Coturnix japonica: one gene and its partner. The protein of the gene in region 1 interacts with the protein of each later gene in a biochemical or structural test. Links are inferred from orthologs where the notes say so. Each region holds a gene or a part of one and is shown in the gene's direction. Other genes may lie near its edges. The genes, in order: PTCH1 and SHH.

The links.
Region 2: the proteins of PTCH1 (region 1) and SHH are reported together in a solved structure, tested with the Homo sapiens proteins (5 studies listed by BioGRID and IntAct, with this or other methods). The link is inferred for Coturnix japonica from reciprocal best matches to the Homo sapiens genes PTCH1 and SHH.

The regions. Positions count from the first base shown.
Region 1 is NC_029547.1:37,982,478-37,986,296, reverse strand, and holds part of PTCH1 (protein patched homolog 1), read left to right. Parts: intron 1-35; coding exon 36-105; intron 106-212; coding exon 213-304; coding exon of another isoform or gene 305-308; intron 309-1,641; coding exon 1,642-1,840; intron 1,841-2,403; coding exon 2,404-2,525; intron 2,526-3,800; coding exon 3,801-3,819.
Region 2 is NC_029517.1:7,179,761-7,183,572, reverse strand, and holds part of SHH (sonic hedgehog protein), read left to right. Parts: intron 1-1,901; coding exon 1,902-2,163; intron 2,164-3,812.

The DNA.
Region 1 (3,819 bases):
CTGTTGAAGAAAAATATTTGTTGTTCTTATTACAGACAGTGGAAGTTGGAACATTTATGTTATAAATCAGGGGAACTCATCACAGAAGCAGGTTACATGGATCAGGTATGCATAGCAGTCATTTACTTGGAAACTTTTTCTATAATCATAATTGAACTTATGCTGCTTAGATTATGTTCTAGCCTAATTTTTGCCACTTCTCATTTTGACAGATTATAGAATATCTTTATCCTTGCTTAATTATCACTCCTTTGGACTGCTTCTGGGAGGGAGCAAAGCTACAGTCAGGAACTGCCTATCTATTGTAAGCATGCAATTATTTATCTTTCTAGTCTGATTAATTTTAATTCTATAACTATGTATGATTTTGCATTGCATTCTGACTATCCATTGACATTCTGGTTTAACAGTAAAATAAAATTATGGCGTCTCTACTGGAAGTCTGCATAGACTTTTTTTTTTAACTGAACACATATTTTTGTTTCTGCAAGATGAATTGTAGGCATCAATTTGGTTTCTGTAGTATTTTTCTCACTCTGCTAGCAAGCCCTTAAAGCTATAAGTTCTCAGTCTAAGCTTTAAGGGCTTTACGCTTCTTTTGGAAATAAACTTGTCTCTTTTTTTTCTTAGTTTACAAATAGCATTGATTAATTGGAAATTTTATTTCTAAGAAAATTTCTGGGGTTAAATCTCAGATCTTCTAAGAAACAAAAAATCCAAATCCTTTACTTATGAGTTCATCGAAGAAACCATACATAGTATCTTTTATGGGTGGTTTCTCACAATTTATAAATGTGATATTATATGCCCTAAATCATTCAAGCAATTAATTGTTGATATGTGTGGGCATTTTCTGTTAATTATGCAAGAGTTAATTGTTTCTGCTCTGGTTTGCTCTTGTTTCTGTCTCTGTAAAAGCAATTTGCAATGGCTATCTCATAACCTTTAGTGTACATTTCTAGATGGGAAACATACAGGGCTTGTGATTTCTGGTTGGGAGAACTGGAATAGTGACTTAAGCCTGGTTAGGCAGATACAGTGTGGTTTGAACCACAGAATAAGGCAGCCAAAATCCATTCTAGTCTGTCAACATCAAAAATTCACAAGTTGGGGTGGGAAATACGACAGTGATAGTAATGGTAGCCGTGATAGCAAGAGAGCTTGCTAGCCAATAGTCAAGCTGTCAGGGCATTTGAAGAAGCATAGTATAACCAAAGATCATCTGTATTGATTGATTACATCTGCAAGATGGTTATTAGAGTAGCAAGAAGTAATCTGATACTATGAGAAAGGCTTTCTTTCTTCAGCCCCTTCTTTTCTTTCCTTCTTCCTTTCCCCTAATTCTGTCCAGCAGCAATTGGCTGCTTTTTTATTATTTAGGTGCTTAATAATTTCTTTACTTTTGCTTGTAAATAGAAGTGCTTTTTACTTGTGAATATATTGTATTTTTTGCAATAACTTTGTAAAACCCAAATATTTATTTTTAAATGGCACTAAGGCTACAAAAAAGGTACATAAACAAATAAAATTAAAATATGCCACATTTCATATCCTGTATGAAACAATCTTATCAGCAAATGTAATAACTTAGAAAACAAACATAATTAAAAAAAACAAAAAAAACCCTGATTTATTTTGCAGAGGGAAGCCTCCTTTGCAGTGGATCAACTTTGACCCCTTAGAATTCTTGGAAGAGTTAAAGAAAATAAACTACCAAGTGGAGAGCTGGGAAGAAATGCTGAATAAAGCAGAGGTTGGTCATGGTTATATGGATCGACCTTGCCTGAATCCTGCTGATCCTGATTGCCCAATCACAGCTCCCAATAAAAATTCTACCAAAGTAAGTTCTTGTGCTTGTTTGTATCTTATATTGGGGAAGCTAGAGGCAGGGAGGAGAGAAGAAGCAGTATGTAGGTCTAATTGACTGCTGCTGAAACAGCTGATAACTTTCTGTCATTCTGTGATGCAATAGTTAATCCCCCATATTTAGAGTCAGAGTACAGTACTGCTGGCCAAGGATGGCAAAGTGGCAGTGTAGCATTTCAAAAGACTTAATTCCTCAGAGAGAACCACTGCTGAAATGCATCTACTCTGTATGCTCATACCAGATAGCAAAGCCTTCCTTCCTTCAGGTAGGGCCAATTTTGTTTACTTTGTGAATAATCTAAATTAGTGGTGCCCAGTTTTATACATCTGTCTTTCAGTCAGGCTTTGGGAAAGTTGCTGTTTGTTCAGTTAATACCTGACTGATTTGTCCACTTGAGTAGTTGAGCATAATTTCTCTTTTTAGACCTCTTAAACAATCTTGAATATCAGTTTTTTTACTGTACCATAAATCAACTTCCATGCAGTTTTGTCTGAAGTTATGCAACTGATCAATTTCTTCTTTATAACATTTTCCAGCCTCTTGATGTAGCCCTTATATTGAGTGGTGGATGCTATGGACTGTCAAGAAAATACATGCATTGGCAGGAAGAGTTAATTATAGGTGGTACAGTCAAGAACAGTTCTGGTAAACTTGTCAGGTAAAGAAATAAATGTTTAAAGAAAATTCTAAAGTTTTTCCCTGTTAGAATTTCGTTTTTAGGGTACATGTGTATTTATCCTTCATGTGTATTATGAACCCTTTTAGGAGGACATGCATGCCTCAAGAAAGCAGAATTTAAAACAATGATTAGATAATTGTTTAATTGACATCACTGCTTCCTGCTTCTAACCTCCGAATGATAATGTACATTTCTTAGAAATAGATTTTTTATTTTTTTTTTCTGACATCTTTGTTGTTTGGTGTGTATGTATAAAACATTGAACAGTGTTTGAAACACCAAACAGCTCTGAGCATTTTTTGAAATACTGTCAGACAAAAAAGGGGGAAAAATACAGGTAAAGTACTCACTTGGCTTTTCTCAAAATTCAAAGTAACTTTTTGTTTAGAATCAATATGGAGAAAAGTATATTATTTATGTTATTACATCTTGAATGTATTTTTGTCCGATAAAACACTTTTTTAGACTTTCTTTAAAGAAGTCAGGACTTCACTGAGGGAGAAGCCTGTGAGAGAGAACTATTCTGAAAAATATAGGACATAGTAAGCTAAATGAAGCACAGTTATCACATATTTAATAGAGGTGTTTTTTACTGGAAGTCTTAATATTGATTATGAACTTTTTTTTTTTTTTTTACATTTCCACCAAATACTGAAGAATTATTTATTGCAGTAAATCTTTCAACAATTAAGCCAAAGGATATGTTTTAGTGAAAATAAAGTAGTTGTTAAGCTTCTGAAATTGTTGGATGCATTTGAATACTGTGGAAAGTCACACTGGATAATTGTTGTCCTTGTGTAGTCCTCCCAGTCTGCCAGGCAACAGGAATTAAATATGGCATTTCTCTTGAATGGTTAATGAATGCCAAGGTTTTCAAATGACAAATTTTCAATGGCATTTAAAAGATCTTATAGAAATAACTATTTTTATGTCATCTTCACAGTAATAGTCATCTGTTAATCATGATCCTTATAATTGATTAGTAGTGTTTTATTCTTTGCACCCAAAGTGATCCTATCAAAAATAATGGCTAAATAAACTTCAGTGAAACTAAGTTTTAATCTCAGTACTTGAAAGAGCCATGCAGCTGCACCAGATACGTAGTTAGCATAATTATACTCTATTCAATTTTAATGTGAGTATGTGCTTTATAAAATCAAGAGCTCCTACAAACTGCTGTTAGGCTCTCATTTGGGATTTCATGCCATGAGATTATTTTATGCCTCCTCCTTTTCTTCTTTTTCTCTGTTACAGTGCCCAGGCGCTGCAAACG
Region 2 (3,812 bases), on another chromosome or scaffold:
AGAGATTAGGAGCTGGCAGGAGAGGGCTTGTTGAACAACTTCGCCTCCACACAAAGCGTCGGCGGAGGCAGCCCTGCTGAGCTTCACGGTGGCTGAACAGAATTGGGCTTGATTTGTGGCACACGACCCGATGAATTAATAAATAGTCTGGGCTTCACGGCTTTTGACTCCGACAATCCAGCTCAGGCGGAGTGAAAGGGAGGAAAGTCCTTTAGGAGGCCGTTCCCTTGCTCGATTCACGGCTCCTTGCGTTCTCTGAGCCAGAGGCCGGGAGGGACACCCACCACTGGGGCTGCTATCATGATATGTTACTATCATGATATCCTCGTGTTGTGATATCCTTCTATCGTGACATCCTGGTATTGCGATATCCTGCTACTGTGAGATCCTGCTACCCTGATCTTATAAATACCCGGACGTCCTGCCACCCCCATACCTTGCTCGTACCCGTTTAGCTCTGCAGGAGCACATCCATCCTCTCAGGTGTGCAAAGGGGGGAAGTAAAAATATGCCCTCTGCTTCCTCGTGCTCTGCTGTAGGGAATGGGCTGAAAGCAGCTTCCTTGGCTCTTTGCACTGAGTGCTAGGCCACAGAGTCCAAAGTGAGCTCGTGATTGTGTTTGATATCTCTCGGGGCCGTGTGTGTTGCTGGAATTGCTTTTTATGGCTGTGATAGACACATGGGAAGTTTCACATTGAACAGTCTTGTCATGTCCCTTAGAGTGGGGCTGGAAAAGGGATGGCCATGCTGGGCCCTGCTAAGAGCTGTGAAGGGGCCTTTGTGGGACAGGGCGTCCCACTTGGGGATGTATGTGAGGGAGAGCTCCTGCCTCTTGCTGTGACTTTACCCCATGTGCGTTCATGCTGTTTGTAGTCATGAGTTATTTCTCTCTGAAAAAGGAGGAAAAAGTTGGCCATGTGTGGTTTTTCTAGCTGTGTGCCTTTCAGTCAAATGCTTTCAGTGCTTATTTCTTATGTCTGAGGGCAGCTGCAAGTCCTTCTCCTTGTAGAGCTGGTCATTCCACCTCCTTGACCCACACACTAATCCTCTACACTTTCAGGGCTCTGTATAGAGCTCACCCCTGAATCTGCCCACTGTGAGGCTCTAGGTGAGCCCAGTAGCTCCAGAGAGGGGGCTGAAGGAAAACCCTATAGCATTTTCCTATGGGGCCTAAAGCTTCTCACTGCACACAAAGGCCACTCAGCATCCCTGTAACTCCTCTGCTTGGCCCTCTCTTGCTTTCCATCTTCCTTTTCTGAGCCATGTTATCATATGTCTATGCCAAAAGCAGAGCAAATGCTCCCAGCCCACGCTGCTTTGAGGACTCTAATGAGTGATGGGTGAGAAATAATAATTAAAAACAAAACAAAACACACAAAAAAAACCCAACAACAACAACAAAAAACAGCAGCACATAAAGTCTGTTAACGTGTACTGAGACCCCTTTCAACACAGAATTAAGCTGAAAAGACCCGGGGAGACATTCCGGGGAGAATCCCTGACTCTCAGATATATGGCGAGTGTTTATTCTCGGCAGAACTTTGTTCTCGGCAAAGGGACAGGGCACTTAGTGCAGGAATGCGGGGCTTTTAGACCGCGCACTCAGGCTGTGGGGCAGGTGCTGGAGAGGGAGCGGCGTTGCGGTGTTTCATCCCTTCTTCCTCCCTTTGGCTGGGGAGGGGGGTAGGATGCGACCCTGGAGGTGCGGGGAGGCTGGGGGGGGGGGCATCTGATCCCGGTGACAGCAGTGNGGTGTTTCATCCCTTCTTCCTCCCTTTGGCTGGGGGGGGGGGTAGGATGCGACGGGGGGGGGGGGGGGGGGGGGGGGGGGGGGGCATCTGATCCCGGTGACAGCAGTGTCCCCTCAATGTGCCTTTCCCTGTGTCCCCATGTCCCCGCAGCGCTGCAAGGACAAGTTGAACTCCCTGGCCATCTCTGTGATGAACCAGTGGCCGGGGGTGAAGCTGCGGGTGACCGAGGGCTGGGACGAGGACGGCCACCACTCCGAGGAATCGCTGCACTACGAGGGTCGCGCTGTGGACATCACCACGTCGGATCGGGACCGTAGCAAGTACGGGATGCTGGCCCGCCTGGCCGTCGAGGCCGGCTTCGACTGGGTCTACTATGAGTCCAAGGCGCACATCCACTGCTCAGTCAAAGCAGGTGAGGCGGGGAGGGTGGACGCGGTGGGGACACCCCCGGGCTCTGTGCTCCAATTCCCCGTCCCATCAGCTCTGCCCGCCCCGTCGGGGTGCGGAACCGAGCGCCCGCCTCTGAGGCACACGTGGGGGAGGCGGTGGGGGGAGAGGGGCAGTGAAGGAGATAGGGGAGATGCAAGAAAGAAAGAAAGAAAAAAATGCAAGGAAGGAAGGAAGGAAGGAAGAAGCCCAGCCAGCTGCAGCACCTCCTGCCAGCGTTAATTTCTCTGTCAGTTTGCCCAGCCTTCCCACCACCGCCACACGCCCTTCTTCTCCCTCCGTGGGATCTAAGCTCTCCCCATCCGAAGCGATCGCTCATCTTGGGGCTGGAGGGGACCGGGAAATGAGCACCGAGCGAGGCCCCTCCGCCGGGAGCCGACGGGAAACTCCCAGCGCCCGATAAGCGCGCATCTCCTTCTGCCTCCCCTCCCTGTGCTTACAACGCCACACGCTGTCTCAACCCGGGAACAGCTCGCGAGAAACCCCGAGCTGCGTTTGGCTCTTCTAAAACAAAATTATCGTCGTTTTGCTGATTTTAAGCGAACCCCTTTGGCGTGTGCCAGTCGCCGGGCCCGCCTCCCTGTGCTGTACGGCAGTGTTGTGAGAGCATCCTCCAGCCTGGAGAGAGCTGCAAGTGTCAAGAAACACTTGGCTGCAAAAGAAAATAATGGGCTTTCTCTAAAAATATCGATTTACTTTGAAACAGCAAGTAAACAGCATTGGCTTCAACATGCCAAGCTGTAACTGGGTCCCAGTCCACACTGGGACTTCTCCAGCCCAGGGCTTTGTCCTGGGAGCCTGACATTGCTTTTGTTCATCTCCCCCAGCCCTTCGGAGGCTCCACAAAGCTGCTGGTCTCACAGCGATATGAAACGTCCCTTTCAATAGCGAGGATGGGCTTTATGGCTCAAGGTGTCTGATTGTGGCGCACAATAACCTTATTCCGAGCACCCACCCTAATCCACCTCCATGTATATTTCATAGGAGAGGAGCAACCCCCGAGCTGCTCATTGAGATTCCGCACACGCGGACTTTGGGGTGACATTTAGTGCGTGTCAGGCGGGGTCGTGTGACTGTACCACGAGGGTTGCAAGGGAATGGGCTTGAATTCCACCCGCTCGGTCTGGTTTCAAACTGTGGAAACCTCGTTTCATGATGGAGCATCTTATGAGAAGATTAAACCCCATAATGGCAGGCAGGAAGATTCTTTATCTAGATCTCTGTTTGCAAAAAGTATGATCCCAGAGACTGGAATGCAAAGAAGAGTTCCCCCAAGGCCTGAATTATTGTCACTGGGACAGGGGAGGGAGAGGCAGGGGTGGTAAAAGGGACATTGATAATGCGCTGCGGCAAGTATTTAGAGCGAGCTTCTGCATTTAAAATTCAAATACACATCTTGAGTGCCTTGGAAAAGTGGCTCTGCTGTGCAAATAGTGCTTGGAAGGTCCTGGGTTTTTTGGAGAGTATGTGTGTGAATTGGCACATAGGGTTTCTGCACCTGAACAAATAGGGAGGGGGAGAAAAGGGGGGGAAGAAGCTGGGAAAAAAATGGAAGTGTCCTCTCTTCCAAGAGTGTCTGCATTTATTACATGAATCAGAATGACAATGCTGATC